7 linked regions of the Kluyveromyces lactis genome follow. The protein of the gene in region 2 purifies or fractionates together with the protein of the main gene of each other region. This does not show direct contact. Links are inferred from orthologs where the notes say so. Each region holds a gene or a part of one and is shown on either strand. Other genes may lie near its edges. The genes, in order: CKA1, SPT6, RPB3, CKA2, RPB4, SPT16 and POB3.

Region 1 (3,080 bases), on a different chromosome or scaffold from region 2:
CTTCTACTTTATTTTACTAGTGTAAGCGATACTGGCAATGTCTCTCAATAGAAAAATATCATCGATCGTATTGAAAGGAAAACTACGAAAGAAATCATTAAAGGAGTAGAAAGGGTAAATGTAAATACATCAAGCAAACTGAAGAAAACTCATTGAGCGTGGTAACTAGTTGTAAATATACTGAAGATACGGAACTAGAATGTCTGTGGACGAGAAATATGATGCTGCTTGCGAGCTTTTATACAGATTGGATCCAACAAAGGTGAAAACCCATTTACAGAACCTTATTGCGTTGGAGCCTGAAATCGCAGAAGGATTACTTTCCTCAATTGATATCCCATTGACCATTAAGAAGGATACCGATGCTAACAACAAAGAATTCTTATGTTGCGACTACAACCGTGACATCGATTCTCATAGGTCACCGTGGTCTAACCAGTACTTCCCTGAATTGAGTGCCGAAGATTTGAAAGAAAGTCCTTTTCCCAGTGAGCCATTGAGAGAACTAGAAGTTGCATGCAACAATTCTTTCGAGTTGTATAGGGACCTATACTACGAGGGTGGTTACACTTCAACGTATCTCTGGGACGTTGATGAATCAACTGATTTCGCGGGAGTCATTCTTTTCAAGAAAGCTGAATCAGATGATTCTAAATGGGACAGTATCCACGTCATATCTGCCACCCACGATGAAGAGGGTATGGAAGTCACATATAATGTCACTACAACGGTGATCTTGCACTTGGAAAACCTATCAAAAGAACAACAACTATCATTGTCCGGTAATCTAACTAGAGAAAATTCCAAGACCGTAAAATTGCAAAACGTATCTACTGTTGAACAGCTAGTACCCGCTCACTCTTCCAGCTTGGGATCTATGATTGAAGATATTGAATCTAAGCTTAGATCAATGCTCGAAATCGTGTATTTCGAAAAGACGTTGGATATTTACAACGTGTTGAGAGAACGTAACGATGATTCTACCAAATTGCAAAAGGAGCAACACTCCGAATTAATTGAAAACTTCCAGAAATTATAATCAATTGAATAAATAAAGTAAGAAATTATACACACATACACTACGTATAAATGCTAAATGAACACCATTATATTTTGCCGGTTCGTCAGTCAACACAATTATTGGCTAGAATTGTTCTATACATAAAACCGTTACCCTAACTCCTCATACTGTAGTTTCGAAATGTCAATTTTTGCAAGAGAGACATGAACTGAAAAGAAATCAGATAACCCAGAAATGAAAATTCCAGTTTGAGTATAGGCATTACAAAAGCTTCAAACGTACTGGATTATATACGGTGAGTGGTTTGGATTTCTCGGACTCATTATTACCACTGTTTATAGAAATAGAAAAGGTCAACAAAAAACTGGCTGGCAATCGTTCTCGTTGTTAATTTCGTGGTAGTTTTAGAGACTTTCCAGTACATTATTAAAAGGAAGATGAAATCGAAAGTGTGGAGTGAGGCAAGAGTCTATAGTGATGCCAACGAGATTCGTGGTCAAAGATACTGGGACTATGAAAATACATCAATAGAATGGAAGGCTAATAACTCACAGTACGAAGTTGAATGCAAAGTTGGCCGTGGTAAATATAGTGAAGTTTTCCAAGGCGTACAGTTATCCACGAGAAATAAGATTGTCATTAAGATGCTAAAACCTGTGAAGAAGAAGAAGATTAAGAGAGAAATTACCATACTTGCAAACCTCTCGAATGAGAAGAATCCGCCAACTGCGCAACCTTACGATGAGGCAAAATATTACACAAACAGAAGAGAAGAAGTACTGAAATATGCGAGAGATAAAGTATATGACTTACCTCATAACGGGCATGAGAATATTATAACATTGTTAGATGTGGTCAGAGATCCCATATCCAAGACACCTGCATTGATTTTTGAACATATCGACAATACGGAATTCCGTAGGTTGTATGCTTCATTTTCGGATCTTGATATTCGTTATTATATGTTCGAGCTTTTGAAAGCTTTGGACTACTGCCATTCGATGGGTATTATGCATAGAGACGTCAAACCACACAATGTAATGATTGACCATAAGCAACACAAATTGAGACTAATCGATTGGGGTTTGGCTGAATTTTATCATCCATCGATGGAATACAATGTCCGCGTTGCGTCAAGATTTTTCAAGGGCCCAGAACTTCTAGTTGATTATAGAATGTACGATTACTCGCTAGACTTATGGTCATTTGGAGCAATGTTAGCATCAATGGTTTTTCTGAAAGAGCCTTTCTTCTATGGGTCGAGTAATACTGACCAGCTAGTCAAGATTGTACGCGTCTTGGGTAGTGATGATTTCGAAAGATATTTACAGAAATATCAGATAACACTCCCAGATGAGTTTATTGATATGGATCAATACATCAGAAGACCATGGCAGAAATTCGTCAATGATTCCAACAAGCACCTATGTGGAAACGATGATATCATTGATTTAATCGATAATCTTCTTCGTTACGACCATCAAGAAAGATTTTCTTGTAAAGAAGCTATGGCTCATCCATGGTTTGCTCCAATTAGAAACAACGAATACACATTATAACCGTTCCATAGATCAATATTTTTATGAAGTTAATAATAATAATAATACTAATAACAACTGTGTGAGCTTTCCTATAATAAGTGTTGGAGGATATATTTTGATCGGGTGCTTCTAAATCTACGAATTTATTATTGACATTCATTGAGAAAGTTTTCAGATGTTGTGGAACTGTTTTGATCCTGAAGCTGAGCCCAGTCAAGCATTTGAAATTCTGCAATGAACGTTTTGTCTTTCAACATCAATAACTCACTCTGAACATACCTCTTGCTTTGAAGGATATTACATCCGTCACAATGAACTTCTCTGCAGTGTTCCAAAATCGATGACAAAATCTGTAGACAGAATCTGAATGCTAGTCCGAAATAGGGAACAATAGGAATTGTTAATCTTTTTCCGAACTTCATAAGATATTCCCACCTTTTCTGGAAAATAACGTGAAAGGCAGAATCCGTTCCTGCCTTTAAATCACTCCAAAATGTTTGTGAATCCAGTAATTTCTC
Region 2 (4,197 bases):
ACTAGTACTTCCAGTTCTATGTCTGGAATGGACATGGATGGTGGTTCCGAAATGACTGGAATGAACTCTTATCTCACAAGAAAATATATGAACTATCCCGTTGTCTTTGAGAAACTCTATGCTTCTGATCGCGGTGAAGCATTTGGTATCTTCTTGCTTATCGTTGTTGCTGCCTTTGTATACAAATTCTTGTTATTTGTGAGCTGGTACCTAGAATTGAAATGGTTCAAGAAGGCAGGAGTCAATGAGGAAGCTGAGAACGATGAGGCTACAGGTAAGAACGTGTTATATACTATCGAAGATCTGGAATTACAAAGGCAATTCTTGCCAACTAGTTTCGGCAAATTCATGTTCAACGTTTTCGCCCCAGACTGGGTTGATTTCTTCCATGATTTTGTACGGTTATTGATCACTTTTTGTTCTACCATGATAATATATATGTTGATGCTTGTTGCTATGACATTCGTACTTGCATACGTGTTTGCTGTCATACTCGGGTTATCTCTGGCCGAAATCTTCTTTAACAGAATCAAGATCAACATGTTGAAGGCATGGGAATTGAAAAAGGAATGGGAAAGACGTTTCAAGCTTTGCCAATGTGGACCTGGCCCATCTGCCTCTACCGATGATACTAGGTCCTTTGCATCTAGCAAAGCCACTGCTGACGCCGGCTCTACTACACCTCTAAACACGTTTAAATCGTCCGAAAAAGTGCCAAAGAAAGTCGGATGCTGCTGCAATGGTGATGAAGATCCAGAGGAAGAAGCAGAAAGAAAAATTAGAGGCATTGCTACTCAAAGAGAACAGGCGGGAAACATGAACGTAGATTTATTACCTGCTGAAAATTTCAAATAATCTAAGGCTTTTCCAACGTGCTAGAAGAAATGGAATGAGGGTCTTGTGCCATTTAGGTTACTTCAGCTCCTGCTTAGTATTAATCTTTAAATCCTATATATCATGCGTATAAATAATTTAATGACTCGGATAAACAGTTAATATCATGAATTGGCATATAATTTTGAAGTTCGACTGGTTAAGGAATGGTCCACGCATATCAACTATTGTATAAGTTTGGTAAGACTGCTAGGTAGTCGCTCATCTGTCACCAAGTCTTTATATTTTATCACTTCGTACGTGTTGAAAAGTTTGGTTCTGGTTGAAAAACATGGAAATTGGGAATTGAATCTTTAAACGCATTCGAATGATAATTACACGAACGAGTAGTGTTTCCCTTTACTTTAAGACATATAGTAAGAAAGATTGAAATCAGTTCATTACTTGTATTGGTAAGATATACCCAACATCAAGATACGGATCATCTGTTTGTCTTTTTTCCATTGATTCTGTGTGTTTTTCTGCGGATATTCCATATATATCCATATTGGTAAGAAAGCACCATGTCTGACAAAGAGGACGAAAAGCAGTCTCAGCCCGTTTTGAAGGACGACAAACAAGACCAAACTGAGGAGCCTGCTATTGACGATAATGTCAATGGAGATGAAGGCCCAAGTGACGAAGAAGAAGGAGACGATGTGTTTGATTCCAGCGAAGAAGATGAGGATCTAGACAACGATGAAGAAGAAGCTCAGAAGGTGAGGGAGGGCTTCATTGTTGATGACGATGAAGAAGGTGGAGAAGAAGATGAAGTCGTCAAAAAGAAAAGCAGGAGAAAGAGACGTGCTCGTGAAGAAGAAAATGAAGCCTTAGATGAGGATGATTTAGACCTTTTGATGGAGAATGCTGGATTCAAACGTCCGTCAGCTTCAGAGGCTGCCAAACAACGTAGCGGTAAATTAAAGAGATTAAAGAGGGTCGGTGATGATGAAGAAGAATCGGCTTCGGCGGAACCAGAGTCTGAGGTGGCTCGTACCAATAAACTTGACGATTTCTTCTCAGAAGAAGAAGAAGAGGAAGAATTAGAAGATGATGGTACTGGCAGAGCTCCAAGCAGAAAGGGTGTAGAAAAAACAGTCACTTTGGCTGATGATATGGATGATTTCATTGAGGAAGATGAGTTTTCTGACGAAGATGAAGAAGCTAGAAAGTTTAGAATCGCTGAAAAGAAGAGAATTAAGGAACAAAGGTTGGCCCAGCCTACACAGATTACTGGATTATCTCCTGATAAAGTGGATGAAATGTTTGAAGTTTTCGGTGACGGTCATGATTATGATTGGGCTCTTGAACTCGAAAATGAAGAAGAACTGGATCGGCTTGAAGAATCTTCAGAAAACGAACAGGATGAAAATGAGCTCGGTATCGATTCCAAAAGGAAAAAGAAGCTTACTTTGCAAGATATTTACGATTTGCAAGATTTGAAGAAGAACTTGTTAACTGAAGAAGATATGAACATCAGAAAGGCAGACATTCCAGAGAGATACCAAGAGTTGAGAACAGGATTGAAGAACTACGGTAAACTATCGCCAGAAGACCTTGAGCTTGAAAAGAACTGGATTAGTGACAAGATTGCAGTAGATAAAAATTTTGATGCCGATTACGATACTACGGAATTCAAAGAAGCCATTGGAAATGCTATCAACTTCATTCAGCAGGAAAACCTCGAGGTTTCATTCATTTATGCTTACCGTCGTAACTATATCTCTTCAAGAAGCAAAGACGGATTTGTGCTAATCGAAGATGACTTATGGGATATTGTATTTTATGATACCGAGTTCCACAGTATCATTTACAAGAGGGACTACGTGAAAACTTTCTACGAAAAGCTGGATATTCATGATCCAATTGTGGATGAATACTTCAGCAATCAATCCATGACAGAGTTGAACTCCTTACAGGACATTTATGATTACGTTGAATTCAAATATGCGCAAGAAATTAATGATGTACTATTGTCCACGCAGCAGGACGCAACATCCAAGAAGCATTTGAAAAACTCAAGTTATGAAAAGTTCAAGGCCAGTGCATTATACCAAGCTATCAATGATACTGGGATTACTGCAGAACAAGTTGGTGAAAATATCAGTGCTGAGCATCAACTTCATCCGGTTGTTGATCACCCTTCATTGAAACCTACTGATTCAGTAGCAAATATTTTAGAAGGACCAGAGGCCAAGGATCTTCAGATTTTCTCCCAGAATCCTAAATTGGCGTTAGAAACAATCGAAAAATACTACGCACTAGAGCTTTCTAAAAATCCTAAGGTAAGGCAAAAGATCAGAGATGACTTTTACAAGTACTATATTGTGGATGTTGCATTGACTTCAAAAGGTAGAAAAGAGATTCAAAGAGGTTCCCCATACGAAGATATCAAATATGCTCTTGGTAGAACTCCAGCCCATTTCCGCTCAGAGCCAGATGTCTTCTTACGGATGTTAGAAGCCGAATCTTTGCATTTAATGAACATTCAGATTCATGTGTCTTCTCAAGATCAATATACTAATCATCTTTTCCAAACATCTCTCGAAACAAGTAACACCTCAGAAATCGCTTCGGAATGGAACTCTTTCAGAAGAGATGCTTTTGACTCTGCTCTAAACAAGGTATTCTCTGATGTCAGCCAAGAAATCAAAGATGAATTGAAGAAAACATGTTTGCGTCTGGTTACAAAATCCGTCCGTCATCAGTTCATGTTCAAGCTTGATCAGGCACCATTCATTCCTAATCCAAAGGACCCTAAGATTCCAAGAGTTCTAACCATCACTTGTGGACAGGGTAAATTTGGCTCTGATGCGATCATTGCAGTTTATTTGAACAGGAAGACAGAATTTGTAAGAGACTACAAGATTGTTGAAAATCCATTTGATAGAAAAGAACCGGAGTTGTTCGAAAATGCATTAGACGACATCATTCAGCATTGCCAGCCAAACGTCATTGGTATTAATGGTCCAAACCCAAGTACGCAAAGGTTATACAAAAAGATACAGGAGATTGTTCAGAAGAAACAAATCGTCGATAATAGAGGATCTCATGTTCCAGTTATTTACGTTGAGGATGAGGTTGCTGTGCGTTATCAATCATCAGAGCGTGCGGCACAAGAATTCCCAAGCAAGCCTACATTGGTGAAATATTGTATAGCTTTGGGTCGTTATATTCATTCTCCATTGTTGGAATACGCTAATCTAACAAATGAAGAACTGCTATCTTTGTCAATACACAGTCATCAGTCCCTATTGACTAGGGAGCTATTTTTACAAGCCTTGGAAACTTCTTTCGTAGATATTGTGAATTTAGTTGGTATTG
Region 3 (2,741 bases), on a different chromosome or scaffold from region 2:
GGAAACCGAAGGTTGGAAGATCCTCGAATTTGTCCGTGGTGGTTCCAGACAATTCACTTAATGACCATGACTCCGAAATTTTTACTCAGTACAAAAATAACAAATAATAATGATACAAAGCCAATACCTTCCCAACCTTCACTTACTATCGCTCTGGAATAGATTCATGAGTTCGTTATTTGGAAAAAACGGTGGCGGAACACAGCTTTCACTACCTAATCCTGTTCTATATTGCATGCCTGGTAATGTTATTCTTGGATTACTGCGAACTATCAGAGCGTATGAAAGAAATAAAGTGTTGGTTTTGGTCGTAATGTACATTAAATCATCATCATACTAAGTTAGTTTATATTTTACTATATAGATTATCGTCGTTTCTGTTTGACGAAGAAGGAACAGAACGACGACAAGAGAATTCGTGTTAATAGTATCCTAATCCTTCTATAATCCCTAGGAGAAGAAGTTCAGTTATATGTTTCTTGGTGGCCTGTATATCGCATTCTTACCAAATAAGTTCCTAATTATACTTCTGCCAATATTACGTCCTGCTTGTCTGCAATATTGTAACCATGGCTTGGCAACGATATAAAATAACGAGAGAAAGACACCCTGCAAAAATGGACTTATCAAAATATCTCTAGCAACAACTTTTGCAACGATATATGGTGTAATGGGAGGATCTACGACAGATCCATCAGCCACCGATAGAGTTAATTTATTCTGTTTCAAAGCTTCTTTCCTCAAGGACTGCTTAAAGGTCTGTTCAAATCGCAAATCTGGCAATGACGCCTTTACTGAAACTTTCTCATCCACACGGGCAATTCCTTTAGGCATGGTAAAAGGCTGATTATCTGTGGATAACTCACCTTATTTTAAATTCGGTGATGTGTAATTGTACTTGATATTTCGCCTATTGCGTGGGATCAGCTTTCTAATATGTTCAAAAACCGATTTGAAGGTCCTACAAAGAAGAAATAATGCTAATAAGAAAGAAATGGGGCCACTATTGTTCGAAGAAGTTAACTATAGGTAATAAAGGCTATATATACATGACTCCGAGCAATATTATTCTTAGCTGAGCCTATTTGAAACAGTATTGATGGAATAGTCCTATGCACGTGACCAAACGCTGCCAAAGCTCAAAAATTTTCCAACTGAACAAAAGTGAAAAATTCATAAAACAATAATCGAATGCACCAAGGGAACGAGAACAAATCATTTCGTTGCTGTAGTTTGGTCAATACTCTGGTATTTGATTGAGCAAGGAGCAGGTCATATCTTAGGGAGAAATCAGAGTTTAATACTGCGAAAGAACAAATGAGCGAAGAAGGTCCCCAAGTAAAAATTAGAGAAGCAACCAAGGACAACGTTGACTTTATACTTTCTAATGTCGACTTGGCTTTAGCAAACTCGTTACGTAGAGTCATGATATCTGAGATTCCTACACTAGCCATCGATTCTGTTGAGATTGAAACTAATACTACTGTGTTGGCAGATGAATTTATTGCGCATAGACTTGGGTTAATTCCATTACAAAGTGCAGACATTGATCAAGTTGTATACTGTCGTGACTGTTACTGTGAAGATCACTGTGACCGTTGTTCAGTAGAGCTAATACTACATGCTATCGGTGAGAGTGAATCCACGACGAACGTTTATGCTAAGGATTTGCAGATTACCAGCGATTTGAAGGGTAGAAATATTGGCCATCCAATTATACAAGACAGAGAAGCAAATGGTGTATTAATCTGTAAACTAAGAAAGGGACAAGAGATAAGAGTGAAATGTATCGCTAAGAAGGGTATTTCAAAAGAACATGCGAAATGGTCACCATCAGCAGCTATAGAGTTTGAATATGATCCATGGAATAAGTTAAAACACACAGATTACTGGTACGAACAGGATGCAAGGGACGAATGGCCTCAATCTAAGAATTGTGAATTTGAAGATCCTCCTAACGAAGACGAGGATTTCGACTACAGGGCCAAACCTAATACATTTTACATAAACGTCGAGTCTGTTGGTTCCATCACTTCGGAACAAGTCGTCGTACGTGGTATCAAAACTTTACAGGATAAAGTAGCCGACATATTATTCTCATTAAAGAAGATGGACCAAGAGAAAGTTAATTTCGCAGCAGGAGCTGTATCTACGCACGTATCACAACAAGTGCCGATGGAAGAAGATATGGATCCTTATGGAGGGCCAGTAGGAGGCTCAGGATACGATGATGCATGGTGAGACAAGACAACAAGAAAAAGCTACCACAATTATCGTGAAAGGCAACGATTTTTCTATAATTCATTGACGAAACACAAGGCATATATTCCTTAATACTAGCATACTCAAAGGCACTAGCAGCATCTGCTACCATCCAATCTACCACGTCCGTTCAAAAGTTGAACGGTCAAAAATGTTTCAATATCTCTATCTCTATATAGAATGTTTATTTCCATCGAAAGTGTAACTATTAGACAAAGACTGGAAGCTAAGCGTGTTTCTCATGGTTCCATTGGACACAGTCCTCGAACTTTACAAGGGATCCACCAAAAATATCAAGAGCACTACCAAAGGTCAAATCAATTTTGCCATGACTCAATTTCTCTACTAGCCTTAAATCATCCACACTCTTAGCGCCGCCTGCGTATACGATTTTCACTTTTGGAATATCCGCAGTCCATTTGTACAAATGAGCCACTAGCTCTTCATCAATCCCATTACATAGACCCTCTACATCTGCT
Region 4 (2,939 bases), on a different chromosome or scaffold from region 2:
ATAAGTAAACGATGTGGCTTGTCTGTTAACTATATTCTGGAAATATGTCAGCAAAGGAAATAAAAAAAAACTAAAAATCCGTTGCAGCGATGAACTGTGAACGGTTCAATTAACGTAAATGCGGTGAAAATTTGTTTACTTTTGTCTATGTATATGCATGTACTTCTTGAAAGTCAGGTCTTCGTAAACAGTTTCAGTAGTGTTTCTACACAGTCTTGGATCGATTCAAAACTAATGGGTTCAGTTTCTCTGAGTTCGTCTCTGAAAGCGAATTCAGACGCCTTGTACGTCATCTTGTACAATTTTTCGTGTTGAGTTCGATGAACTCCTCGTAGCCTGAGTCCTGAAAGTATGCACTGAGACAGCAACGACATAAATTGCTGCTGTTGATCGTTGAGCAAGACTTGTTTGTTCAACGAGTTACTTTTCAGTATTCGCTGACGTTTGTTCTTCTCTAGAATCGATTCGATCGACATCGTTGCTCCAGCGTTACTTGGCACAACAGATTGTAGTTCGTCGGCTGATAACGGTATCAATTTCTTATCAAGTTCGTGTTTAGTCGATAAGTGAAGTACCATCGATTCAATTTCGAAAGACGCGTTTATATCGGTCTTCAAACGCTTGTAGAATAGGAAATATTCGAATTGCTCTTTCGTCAACACTTGGGATCCCGTTACTTTACATACAATTCCTCGATTCCTGTGTCGTTGTCTCATCAACTTCGCTCTGAAATAATTGACGCTGGTCTCGCTAGTAGTGAAGCATTGGTACCGTTGACCTCTATTGAGCCAAAACGGCAGCTTATCAATGTTGACCATTCCAACAACTTCTGCCAGACAATTTTTCACTGCAATTTGGCCATCACCGTCCTCAAATTCACGCCACAACTGGACGTCTCTTATCACAGTGTTATGACCCACATTAAGCCTCAAGATAAGTTCTTTTTCTAGTGTCATAGGTTCATCGCGCAACTCTCCAGGTCCAATTCCCCTAATACCAGGCCTACCGAGGTCTTCTTTCACGTTTGCTACTTTCACTTAACAATTTGAAACTGACCAGACAATGTATTCACCTCCTTTATAGTCTTAGTTTCCCTGTATATGAAAGTCCGCCGTTGTATTGTGGTTCACGGTGCAAAAGCTTAGCTTATATCCATTGTTACCATACGAATCTTTTTTCTCTCGACGCTTTCACGGCTCCAAACAAAATGCTTTCAGTTTTCAACATTGAAATAAAGTGAAGGCAAAGAAAAAAAATGTTATTGCTCAACGTAATTGAACAATAGACAGCCAGAAGTTGGAAGTGGTTAGAGACTACAGAGGCTAGAGAGTACCGTTTTGGATCACATCAGACTCTAAGTTTTGAAAACGGGAAAAGGGAGGTCATCTCTTTTTTTTTTTTGATTTCCTTCTCATCATGTCGACGTTACAACCTTCTGCGTTGAATAAGAAGAGCAAACGAGTTTATAGCGTTGCTAGGGTGTATCAGGATGCTTGTGAGAAACGCCCTCAAGAGTACTGGGATTATGAACAATGCGTGATGATTGATTGGGGTAAGATTTCGAACTATGAAGTGATAAAAAAGATTGGTCGTGGTAAATACAGTGAAGTTTTCAAAGGGAAATCTGTATTGAACGATATACCATGCGTCATCAAGGTTCTCAAGCCAGTGAAGATGAAGAAAATTTATAGAGAGTTAAAAGTGTTAACTAATTTGACAGGGGGACCTAATATAATTGGATTATTGGATATTGTTCAAGATCCAGGATCCAAAATCCCGGCATTGATCTTTGAAGAGGTGAAAAATGTCGACTTCCGTACGCTTTATCCATCGTTTACATTATCGGATACGCAATTTTATTTCACACAATTGTTAACTGCTTTAGACTATTGTCATTCGATGGGTATCATGCATCGTGATGTGAAGCCTCAAAACGTCATGATTGATCCTAATGAACGTAAGCTAAGGTTGATCGATTGGGGATTAGCAGAGTTTTACCATCCGGGAGTGGATTATAACATCAGGGTGGCGTCTCGTTATCACAAGGGACCTGAACTCTTGGTGAGCTTAAACCAATACGATTACTCTTTAGATTTGTGGGCTGTCGGATGTATGATAGCAGCTATTGTTTTCAAGAAGGAGCCATTTTTCAAAGGAAGCACGAATGCAGATCAATTGGTGAAAATTGCCAAGGTACTTGGTACGCAGGAGTTATTCTATTACTTGAAACATTACGGATTGGATCTTCCTGCAGAATACAACGATATCATGAAGAACTACGAACGGAAACCATGGAGCTATTTCGCCAATGATAAGACGCCGTTGGCTGTGGACGAAATAATTGATTTGATCGACCATTTACTACGTTATGATCACCAAGAGAGATTAACTGCAAAAGAAGCCATGGAGCATAAATTCTTCAAAAAAGATTTCTCATAGTGTATGCCTAAACGGTAATATATATCTGTTTTCTCATCTCTCTATCATCAAATTTTCTTTTCCCTCTTATCTTCCATTTATGGTTAACTTTGGGGGATTCTTCTTCTGTCTTTGATTGCTTTCCAATTAAAAGCATGTATACTAATAACATATAATTAATACAACACCTGAAAAAGAGGACAGAAACACATGTCTCTTTTGCTTAAGATTTAAAGAAGATGTAATATTATGATAGTCGTTAATTCATTAAAAAGGATATATAATTAATAGGTGTAATAGCTACCAAACCTGAAAGAAAAGGCTCTTACTAGCGCAGGCGCAGAGAGAGAGACACTACTATAAGTAGGAAAGGAAATAGACCAAAGGAATATGAAACAGGGTGGAAATAGTTACAAAAACCCATGATCGAAACTATTATTGCGGTGAAAGTTCAGTGATGAGAATTGAAAATGCCATTATTATTAGTCTATATTTCTCAATCACAGGGAAAAAAACAATCT
Region 5 (2,515 bases), on a different chromosome or scaffold from region 2:
GTCTTGCTGCTTAATGAAGCACGTCTATATTTCGGTGTGGAATGTATAACGGGATTCAAGTCCTGTCTCGTAAATATCTTGTTGAATTTAGGGACAATAATTATTGGAGAAGGTGGCCTTGACGACGGAAGTGAACTTGAGCCGCCACGCGTGCTCATGTATGCACCTGCAGTAGCGGGATACACAGAAGAATTTATGGAGCCAGCCATATATCCCGCAGTATTAATTCCAGGTTTCCTAAGCTGAGATGGTTTCGTTACCTGCTGTGGCGAAAGTTGACTGCCACCAGTGACAGCAACCGACTGCCTTCTTTGTGCATCATTATAGTTGGGAAACGGTTGCTTCTCATAAAGGAACGGATCAGGCCCTGCCGCACGCGCAGGTGGTATTACTAAAGATGAGTTTCTCCTTCTGAACTGTTGTGAGGATTCATCTACAGCGTTATCTTCTTCGTAAGTAGTGGGCAAGGGGAAGTTGGATTGCTTCCTCATAGTAGACCTCTGAGACTCAGGTATCTGGGGAATCTCTTGCCATGGGTTTTTGAATATCGATTGACGTGGCGACTGCATTTGGAAACCACCAGCCGCATTTCCGCCTTGTTGCTGCCCTGCATATATATTCCCGCCTGCATTGGAGCTACTCCCAGCTGGCCCATCAGGCGCAATCTCTGGGCCCTGATTCTGGGTATTTGCCTGCGTCTGAGAAAAGTTCTGGTTCTGATTCGAACTCGACGCTCCCTGCTGAGAAGCCATGAACGCAGGGTTCCAAAGGCTATTCTTATCCCCCATTTATTATATATCAGATTATAGTCAACGTCTAACCACGTTATTGCAGCAAAATATTAGAAAAGCCTCTCTTCCAACAAAGAAATGACCAATTCACAACTCAAAGTTTCAACGGAAATACCTTTTAAACGTTATATCGACTGAATAACCCTGAGTTTCGCTTAAAGAACTTATAGCAAAACAGTAACAGAAACAAAACCAGCTAAAGAATGTACGCCTTCCTATATTAAAAAACAGCTAAATTCGAATCTGGCTATACCTAATCACGATGAGTACCAAGTACATACAGCGCTGCCCTAAAAATAAGCCCTGGTGTCCTGTACAAACAAACAGCTTTGCCAAGATTCACTTTAATACCTTAAATACAGAGAACATTCATGTCATGAAGTCATAGGGCCAATATTCTGATGTTGAGTTTTCGCATAATTACCGTTAGGAAAAAAAATGGAAATTCAATTACGATTAAAACGAGAGGTAAACTAACTTTGTCACTCGAAACATCAACTGGAGTTACATTTATCTAAGTTGTACCGTTGTCAAAGTGGCTGATTACTGGAATAGCACTTTTTGTGATTACACTCGTCTACTTTTTTGGACCGCTCTTATAGATAACAGCTCGAATTTACCATGAATACATCTACATCCACTGTTCAAACCAAGAGACGTGGGTTGAAGAAGTTTGTTGAAGAAGAGAATGCTGCCACTTTACACTTGGGAGAAGAGTTTAATTTGAAGCAAATCAACCATCAGGGGCAGGAGGAAAACCTAGTGGCTTTAAATTTGAGTGAGTCTCGTTTGATTATAAAGGAAACGCTACAGAACCGTCGGAAATTATTCAAGACATGGGCAAGCAATGGTGCATCAAATAAGGACGATGACATGGATGATGAAGATAACGTCAATGTGCATACCCAAACACAGGAGAAAGAGTTACAGGATATAGATAGATTGCTTGAACAGACCACTGGTGGACAGAATCAAGCGTTGAAGCAGACCATGATATACCTAACGAATTTTTCACGTTTCCGTGATCAGGAAACAGTAACCGCTGTATCACAGCTTTTATCATCCACAGGGTTGCATCCATTCGAAGTGGCGCAATTGGGTTCTCTATCGTGCGAAGATGCAGATGAAGCCAAGACTCTAATTCCAAGTTTAGGAACCAAGATATCTGACGAAGATCTAGAAAGAATCCTAAAGGAATTATCGAATTTGGAAACTTTATACTAAAACCTATGTACTATATCTTATATATATCCCCGGTTTCACCTCTGCTCCATCATCTAATAAATAGTTTGCCGGCACCGTTTTTCCACCATCTCATCAAGCAACTGTTTGGGTGGATGGGAATATTAGATTCGCCGTTAGGATCACACATACAACGGAGCACTAATCGTGCTGATATGGACGTGGGACATGTTTCAAATGGAACATGGCTGTATCCAATTTCATCAAAGTGGTGGATTTCATTCTTGTCTAGAAGTAATGAGGCACCTATACTGTGCACGGGTGCATCACCCCAACGTTCATAATAAAACCCACCCTTGGAGTCCAAGTAATTGAAATACTGAAGATACTCGTCACTTCTAAAGAAATTTAGATCTCCAATTTCGAAATTGGACCAGAAATGACATAGATTATAGTCTGTATTCGAATCAACAACAGGGAAAAAACGTCCCACCATCGTGGTATCCGTCAAAAAGCTTAGACTGTTGTTAGGATGTAGAATT
Region 6 (3,993 bases), on a different chromosome or scaffold from region 2:
CGACTTTTCCTGCAATTCTATCTGGAATTGTTCATAAGTGAAAGGTTGCAACGATCGTTGGTATAAATTCGGATGGCGTTCACAAAGGTCGGCAAATAGATGAAGAGACTGCAAAAGAAGACTTGCTAATGTGAGGTGTAGAGAGTAATCCCCAAGACTTCTCTTATTAGATACCGACAGGTTGTACATTTCCGGATAAATAGTTATCACTTCGTTAATAATATCGATAGCATACGCTGAAAGGATATTGAGTCTTATGGCTAATCCATCCAAAGTTTCATCCCTAAGTGCTTCCTTTATCTTCTCTACTCCCTCAGTTAAATCACCTGCAAGAATTTGGTATGCAGAGAGTACAATAGGAAGTATTTGCACTTCTAACTCTTTAGCCCATCTGTTTATATTTCTTCTTGTAGCCAAAAGATCATCGGATGCCTTGGAAAACAATTCGTCATCATGCTCAAGACGTCTTCTTTCTGAGTCTATTCGCATGAAGGCGAATATAAATTCGCTGCTGATTTGCTCCGCAAAAGTAATTTCTCGCGACATAAAATGTGCAAATCCTAAATAAAACTTTCCAAGATCTATTACATCGTTCTTCCCATCATACATCACCAAAAAAGGATACTTCTTCCTCAATAATTCTGTTAGTTTCTCGCTATCCAGATGGTTAGCAGAACTTAAGTTGTTCCCACTCATTATTTTGGTACAAATAAACCAGTGAACCACCCCGATGTGATTATAGGCTTTGATGTTGATATACACCCAATAATGAAAAGTAAACGTGCACTTTCCACTGTTAACTTCTATTATAGTCATCCTCGGTTCAAAATACATTGGAAGCATCTTAGTATGGAATTGATCTCCAGTCACGTGAAGAGAATCAAATCCGTTTACAGTGATATATTCTCCCTTTAACCTGAATTTTTCAAAATTTAGTAAAAAAAAAACGCGACGCCAATAATGCATATATTATAGTTTTAAATTGAAGAGTAACATTAATAATTTTTGCAAACTATACCCATTGTTTAAGAGCTGGCAGGAAATTAAAGCAAAGGGACTCTTTGGTACTTTTATTGAAATAACCTGCAAAGCATTTCGTGGCTCGGTATTTCAAACTCATTGTTCTATTAGGCGTGGCAGTTGTCTTTTTTGGTTAGATATTGAGGACCCCATTGTGCTAATCTCAAGTAACAATGAGTGACGGAGGAATTGAAATTGATTTCCAAGCCTTTTATGATAGGTTTACAAAATTAGGGAAGGCATATTCTGGATTTGAAGGTTCTCCAAATAGTCTTCTCTTTGTACTTGGTTCGACTAATGAGGAAAACCCTTATCAAAAGACCACCATTTTGCATAATTGGTTGCTAGGGTATGAGTTTCCAGCTACATTGATTGCCTTTTTCAAGGATAAAGGTGTCATCATAACCAGCAGTGCTAAGGCGAAACATCTTTTGCCCGCTGTTACTAAGTTTGAAGGATCAGATTACAAACTTGAGATCTGGCAAAGAAATAACAAGGATGCAAATCACAATAAGAAATTGTTTGAGGACCTCATCAAGCTGTTATCAGAAAACGGTAATACTGTCGGTGTCCCAACGAAGGATTCATATCAAGGTAAGCTCATTCTTGAATGGAAACCGCTTTGGGAAGAAGCTAAAAAGACGCATTCTTTAAACGTAATCGATTGCTCTGCTGGTTTGTCTTCTACTTGGAAGGGCAAAGATGATAAGGAAAAGGCTTACCTTTCTGTATCCAGTAAGGGATCTGACAAATTCATGGATCTTATGTCAAATGAAATCGTCAATGCTGTTGACGAAGAACTAAAAATATCAAATTCTAAGTTGTCAGATAAAATTGAAAACAAGATAGATGATTCCAAGTTTTTGAAGAAACTTTCAAGTGATCTAAATCCTTTGTGTCCTACCGACGAGAAATTCGACGTTAATTTCCTTGATTGGGCCTATTCTCCAATTGTGCAATCAGGTTCTAAGTTCGACCTTAAGGTTTCTGCTCGTTCTAACAACGACTCACTTTTCGGAAAGGGTTCCATCCTAGCCTCATGCGGTATCAGATACAAGAATTACTGTTCCAATATCACCAGAACTTTTTTGATTGACCCGACAGATGAAATGACTGACAATTATGACTTTTTATTGATTTTGCAAGAGAAGATCATCGATGATTTATTAAAAGTAGAAGCTGATCCAACATCTATTTATGAAAAGACACTGGAATTCATCAAAGAAAAGAAACCGGAATTATTATCTCACTTTACTAAAAATGTTGGTTCTTTGATGGGGTTGGAATTTAGAGACTCTGCTGGTATGATCAATGCTAAACCAACCGCTCATAAAATTTCAGAGAATTGCTGTTACAATATTTCACTCGGATTTGGGAATTTAAAGGATAGTAAAACTGGTCAGGTATATGCTGTTCAATTAGCAGATACCGTTCAACTTTCTTCTGATGGAAAGCCATCCACTTTGACCAAGTACACAAAGGCTAGATCCCAAATCTCGTTTTACTTCAACAACGAAGAAGAGAACAAAGCTGCAACTGTTAAATCTGAAAAAAGCAAGCCTCCTGCTTTACCAAAACCTGATGGTACATCGAAGATTTTGAGATCTAAGCTACGTGGAGAAAGTCGTGCTGACGATGAAGAGAAAGAACAAATCCGCAAAGAGAACCAAAGAAAACTTCATGAAAGATTACAGAAGGAAGGTTTACTCAGATACAGTGATGCAGATGCAGTAGATGGCGATGAGAAGCCAAAGCATTTCTTCAAAAAGTACGAATCTTACGTTAGGGAAACTCAAATACCATCCAATGTACGTGATTTGAAGATTCATGTCGACTGGAAGAGTCAGACAATCATTCTACCAATCTATGGTAGACCTGTACCTTTTCATATCAATTCATACAAAAACGGTTCTAAAAATGAAGAAGGTGAATACACTTATCTCAGATTGAATTTCCATTCTCCTGGTGCTGGAGGTGTCGGTAAGAAAACTGAGGAGTTGCCGTATGAAGAGAACCCAGAGAATCAATTTGTTCGTTCTCTAACTTTAAGATCTAAGGATGGTGCTCGCATGAGCGATGTTTTCAAACAAATTACTGATCTTAAGAAGGAATCTACCAAACGTGAACAGGAAAGAAAAGCTTTGGCTGATGTTGTTGTCCAGGCTAAATTGGTGGAGAACAAAACTGGTAGGACTAAACGTTTGGACCAAATCTTTGTCAGGCCTAGTCCCGATACCAAGCGTGTGCCAGGTACGGTGTTCATTCATGAAAATGGTATCAGATACCAGTCTCCATTGAGGACAGATTCAAGAATTGATATCCTATTCTCAAACATCAAGAATCTATTCTTCCAATCATCAAAGGGAGAACTTATTGTGATCATTCATGTTCATCTAAAGAATCCTATTTTAATGGGTAAAAAGAAGATCCAAGATATTCAATTTTACAGAGAAGCATCTGATATGGCTGTCGATGAGACAGGAAACAGCAGACGCAACAACATGAAATTTAGAAGATATGGTGATGAAGATGAATTAGAACAAGAACAAGAAGAAAGAAGAAAACGTGCTGCCCTTGATAAAGAATTTAGATATTTTGCTGAAGCTATAGCAGAGGCATCCGATGGTCTCCTAGATGTAGATTCTCCATTTAGAGATCTTGGTTTCCAAGGTGTTCCTTCTAGATCAGCCGTGTTCTGTATGCCAACGAGAGACTGCTTAATTCAATTAGTTGAACCGCCATTTTTAGTCATAAATTTGAACGAAGTTGAGATTTGTATACTTGAAAGAGTTCAATTTGGATTGAAGAACTTTGACATGGTCTTTGTTTATAAAGATTTGACAAAGCCTGTTTCTCATATAAACACTGTACCAATTGAGCAACTTGAATTCATTAAGACATGGTTAACAGATGTTGATATTCCATATACTGTTTCTACAATTAACTTGAACTGGTCGACAATCATGAAGTCGC
Region 7 (3,582 bases), about 550 kb from region 2:
AAAAAAGACGAGGTAGTTCTCCTTGTCAACAATTTAGGTGGTGTGTCTAACTTCATCTTAACTGCCATCGTTGATATCACGAAATCTTTTTTACAAAAGAATTATGACATTACTCCAGTTCAAAGTATTTGCGGAACTTTAATGACATCTTTCAATGGAAATGGATTCAGTATCACGTTGTTCAATGCGTCAAAGTCATCTGGAGCTATCAAGAAGGAGTTCAGCGAAGTAAAATCTGTGCTTGACTTATTAAACGACCATACAGAGGCGCCAGCATGGCCAATAAAAGATGTCGAAATGGGTAAATCTCCTACATATGACGAGGGTATTCTCGAGGATGTTATTGACGTTAAAAAGGCTGGAACATACGACTTCGAGAAATTATCGGAGCTGTTGAAGGCAGGTGCCGATCAATTGATTAAAAGTGAACCTCATATTACACATTTGGATAACCAAGTTGGTGACGGTGACTGTGGTTATACGTTAGTAGCTGGCGCTAAGGCAATCACTGAAAACTTGGATAAAATATCCTCCAAGTATTTGTCTCAGACCCTTGCAGAAATTTCTGATCATATTGAATCCGCAATGGGTGGTACATCCGGTGGTTTGTACTCTATATTCATTTCGGGCCTTTCAAAAGGAATTATTGAACAATGCGGAGAAAATGATGCGGTGGACAAAGAAGCCTTCGCCAAATCGCTAGAAGTTGCATACGAGACATTGTGTAAATATACTAGAGCTAGGCCAGGTGATTCTACTATGATCGATGCCTTGGAGCCATTCGTGAAAGAGTTTAGTTCAACTCAGGACTTCCATAAGGCCTTTTCCAAGGCGGAAGGAGGTGCAGAATCTACAGGAAACTTAGAAGCCAAGTTCGGCCGTGCATCTTACGTGGAAGACACTGAAGCAATTCCGGACCCAGGAGCTATCGGTTTGGTCGAATTCCTCAGGGGTGTTGATTCCAAATTGTAGATTCATTTTCAAATGAGCTGCCTCCTTTATTCTTTCCACCTAGTTATTATTTTATAACAAACTATATACAGCTTCCTACATTAACCAAATTTATGACCTAGCGGTAATTGCAGTATCATACATTGTTCCTCCGGCAACAGGGGGGTGGGCCTCGACCTGATAGTTCTTCGTGTGTAAAAACTGTCTCTTTTCCGTTCACTCCCCCATCTTACCTCTTGTCAACGTGACGCGAATTGGAAACTTTACTAGAAATGAAAATGAAAAATCGCCAAAGTGTTTAAGATGTTGTTAAAACATGAACAAATAAGAAGACATATGAAACCGTTAACGGTAGGCAGAGTTGTTAGCCCATAGTTTACGTTAGACAGGTCAGTATTACTGAAATCTAGTGATCTTCGTCTTGGATACCTACTTTTTATTTCTTATATTGGGATAGTGGAGAATGAGTACAGATTTCGATAGAATTTATTACAACCAATCCAAGCTCGGTGGACGTTTCCGTCTAGCTGAAGGAGGTCTTGGTTGGAAGGCATCCGCTACAGGTGGGTCAGCCTCTACTCAAAATAATGAACCTTTGCTATTGGCTGCAGATGAGGTTTCTTCCGTTCAATGGAGTAGAGGATGTAGAGGCTACGAATTGAAAATTAGTACTAAGAATAAGGGATTGATTCAAATGGATGGGTTCCAACAAGAGGATTTCAACCTATTGAAGAATGACTTCCAACGTAGATTCAACATGCAATTAGAGCACAGGGAACATTCTTTACGTGGTTGGAATTGGGGTAAATTGGACTTAGCTAGAAACGAAATGGTTTTTTCATTGAACGGTAAGCCAACTTTTGAAATCCCTTACACGCACATCAATAACACTAATTTAACAGCAAAAAATGAGATTGCATTAGAATTTGACACCCAAAATGAGGCATATAATCCTGCAGGTGATGAACTTGTTGAAATGAGGTTATATGTTCCAGGCACAGTTGAAGAAAATGAAGATCAAGATCAAATCATGGTAAAGGACGAAGCAGAAGCAGAAGACGGTGTTAAGTCGGAGGTTAAGACGGAAGAGGGTAGTGAAGAACCAGACGTTCAAGAAGAGAAGACTTTAGCAGAATATTTCTACGAAGAATTGAGATCTAAGGCAGATATCGGTGAAATTTCTGGTGATGCCATCATTTCTTTCCAGGATCTGTTCTTCACTACGCCAAGAGGCCGTTACGACATTGATATCTACAAAAACTCTATCAGACTTAGAGGTAAGACTTATGAGTACAAGTTACAACATCGTCAAATAAACAGAATCTTCTCTTTGCCAAAAGCTGACGACATCCATTACTTGATGGTTTTATCGATTGATCCACCAATCCGTCAAGGTCAGACATCCTACCCATTCTTGGTGTTACAATTCCAGAAGGACGAGGAAACAGAAGTCCAACTAAATGTGGAAGATGATGAGTTCGAAAAGCTTTACAAGGATAAACTAAAGAAACAATACGATGCTAAAACTCACATTGTACTAAGTCATGTCTTAAAGGGTTTGACAGGAAGAAGAGTCATTGTTCCTGGTGAATACAAGTCTAAGTATGACCAATGCGCGGTATCCTGTTCATACAAAGTCAATGAAGGCCACTTATACCCATTGGACAATGCGTTTTTGTTCTTGACGAAACCAACCCTATATATACCCTTCCAAGATATTGCTGCGGTCAATATTTCAAGAGCTGGTCAGACATCTACATCAGCCAGAACATTCGATTTGGAAGTTGTTATGCGTGCCAATAGAGGTACTACTACTTTTGCTAATATTTCTAAAGAGGAACAACAACTTCTAGAGACATTCTTGAGGTCCAAAAACTTGAGGGTAAAGAACGAAGATAAGGAAGCAGAACAGAGACTGCAGACTGCCTTCGGCTCAGACAGCGATGATGATGATGTAGATATTAACATGGGTTCTGCAGGTGAGGATGAAGAATCTGTAGATGAAGATTTCCATGCGTCCGACGAAGATGACGATGTCGCTGAAGAATTTGATTCAGAAGCATCCGCCTCCGATTCAGAAGGTGAAACCTCAAAGTCTGAAAGACCTTCCAAGAAAGCCAAGTTGGAATGAAAAACTCATATATCATGTATTAGTACAAATAAATAAATAAAAAACTATATACACTCCTCGCGGTATTTGTCGAATAATGTGTCTTTCTTTTGTTTGATTGACTAGTTCTTTAATTTTTAGTACATCTAAATGGCTTGACAAAAGAATAAGGGTCCCATCCAGAGAACTAAACTTCAAAGGGTTGAGAGAAGGATAATTTTGCTAAGCCCGTAAAAGTATCGACTGCTTTTTTCATGCTTCAATCATTTAATGGTTCTGTAAGAGTTATTCTATGACTTCTGGTGAAAGATCCTTAAATCAAGAACTAGAATGATGAAATGAATGCACAAAGAAATTTTGATCCAAGATAACTCGCTTCATACATTCGAGGTATATTAGATATTAGTATGATAGCTACAGACGGTACCTTAACTATAGAATATATCATAGAGATTCCTGGAGTTGACGAATTGTCCGGGAATAGTTTCTTTTTCACTATAAGAAAAGATTCATAGCTAAAC

Evidence for each region.
Region 1: the proteins of SPT6 (region 2) and CKA1 purify together in Saccharomyces cerevisiae (affinity purification with mass spectrometry; 3 studies listed by BioGRID, with this or other methods). This does not show direct contact. The link is inferred for Kluyveromyces lactis from reciprocal best matches to the Saccharomyces cerevisiae genes SPT6 and CKA1.
Region 3: the proteins of SPT6 (region 2) and RPB3 purify together in Saccharomyces cerevisiae (affinity purification with mass spectrometry; 9 studies listed by BioGRID, with this or other methods). This does not show direct contact. The link is inferred for Kluyveromyces lactis from reciprocal best matches to the Saccharomyces cerevisiae genes SPT6 and RPB3.
Region 4: the proteins of SPT6 (region 2) and CKA2 purify together in Saccharomyces cerevisiae (affinity purification with mass spectrometry; 3 studies listed by BioGRID, with this or other methods). This does not show direct contact. The link is inferred for Kluyveromyces lactis from reciprocal best matches to the Saccharomyces cerevisiae genes SPT6 and CKA2.
Region 5: the proteins of SPT6 (region 2) and RPB4 purify together in Saccharomyces cerevisiae (affinity purification with mass spectrometry; 3 studies listed by BioGRID). This does not show direct contact. The link is inferred for Kluyveromyces lactis from reciprocal best matches to the Saccharomyces cerevisiae genes SPT6 and RPB4.
Region 6: the proteins of SPT6 (region 2) and SPT16 purify together in Saccharomyces cerevisiae (affinity purification with mass spectrometry; 5 studies listed by BioGRID, with this or other methods). This does not show direct contact. The link is inferred for Kluyveromyces lactis from reciprocal best matches to the Saccharomyces cerevisiae genes SPT6 and SPT16.
Region 7: the proteins of SPT6 (region 2) and POB3 purify together in Saccharomyces cerevisiae (affinity purification with mass spectrometry; 4 studies listed by BioGRID, with this or other methods). This does not show direct contact. The link is inferred for Kluyveromyces lactis from reciprocal best matches to the Saccharomyces cerevisiae genes SPT6 and POB3.

Annotation. Positions count from the first base shown.
Region 1 is NC_006041.1:381,416-384,495, forward strand, and holds CKA1 (casein kinase 2 catalytic subunit CKA1), read left to right. Parts: upstream 1-1,458; coding exon 1,459-2,580; downstream 2,581-3,080. Other genes in the region: CAP2 (F-actin-capping protein subunit beta), read left to right, coding at 200-1,039.
Region 2 is NC_006038.1:995,001-999,197, reverse strand, and holds the start of SPT6 (chromatin-remodeling histone chaperone SPT6), read left to right. Parts: upstream 1-1,397; coding exon 1,398-4,197. Other genes in the region: high-affinity Cu transporter CTR1, read left to right, coding at 1-855. UniProt on the Saccharomyces cerevisiae protein: Histone H3-H4 chaperone that plays a role in maintenance of chromatin structure during RNA polymerase II transcription elongation thereby repressing transcription initiation from cryptic promoters.
Region 3 is NC_006040.1:1,362,309-1,365,049, reverse strand, and holds RPB3 (DNA-directed RNA polymerase II core subunit RPB3), read left to right. Parts: upstream 1-1,317; coding exon 1,318-2,241; downstream 2,242-2,741. Other genes in the region: protein translocase subunit TIM44, read left to right, coding at 1-61; KLLA0_D16192g (uncharacterized protein), read right to left, coding at 469-834; 1-(5-phosphoribosyl)-5- ((5-phosphoribosylamino)methylideneamino)imidazole-4-carboxamide isomerase HIS6, read right to left, coding at 2,489-2,741. UniProt on the Saccharomyces cerevisiae protein: DNA-dependent RNA polymerase catalyzes the transcription of DNA into RNA using the four ribonucleoside triphosphates as substrates. Component of RNA polymerase II which synthesizes mRNA precursors and many functional non-coding RNAs.
Region 4 is NC_006042.1:1,518,384-1,521,322, forward strand, and holds CKA2 (casein kinase 2 catalytic subunit CKA2), read left to right. Parts: upstream 1-1,416; coding exon 1,417-2,439; downstream 2,440-2,939. Other genes in the region: SLD7 (Sld7p), read right to left, coding at 174-956. UniProt on the Saccharomyces cerevisiae protein: Catalytic subunit of a constitutively active serine/threonine-protein kinase complex that phosphorylates a large number of substrates containing acidic residues C-terminal to the phosphorylated serine or threonine.
Region 5 is NC_006037.1:539,818-542,332, reverse strand, and holds RPB4 (DNA-directed RNA polymerase II subunit RPB4), read left to right. Parts: upstream 1-1,412; coding exon 1,413-2,015; downstream 2,016-2,515. Other genes in the region: serine/threonine protein kinase YAK1, read right to left, coding at 1-788; KLLA0_A05775g (glycosyltransferase family 15 protein), read right to left, coding at 2,065-2,515. UniProt on the Saccharomyces cerevisiae protein: DNA-dependent RNA polymerase catalyzes the transcription of DNA into RNA using the four ribonucleoside triphosphates as substrates. Component of RNA polymerase II which synthesizes mRNA precursors and many functional non-coding RNAs.
Region 6 is NC_006042.1:906,785-910,777, forward strand, and holds the start of SPT16 (chromatin-remodeling protein SPT16), read left to right. Parts: upstream 1-1,193; coding exon 1,194-3,993. Other genes in the region: KLLA0_F09867g (uncharacterized protein), read right to left, coding at 1-966. UniProt on the Saccharomyces cerevisiae protein: Component of the FACT complex, a general chromatin factor that acts to reorganize nucleosomes. The FACT complex is involved in multiple processes that require DNA as a template such as mRNA elongation, DNA replication and DNA repair.
Region 7 is NC_006038.1:444,718-448,299, forward strand, and holds POB3 (FACT complex subunit POB3), read left to right. Parts: upstream 1-1,414; coding exon 1,415-3,082; downstream 3,083-3,582. Other genes in the region: DAK1 (dihydroxyacetone kinase), read left to right, coding at 1-972. UniProt on the Saccharomyces cerevisiae protein: Component of the FACT complex, a general chromatin factor that acts to reorganize nucleosomes. The FACT complex is involved in multiple processes that require DNA as a template such as mRNA elongation, DNA replication and DNA repair.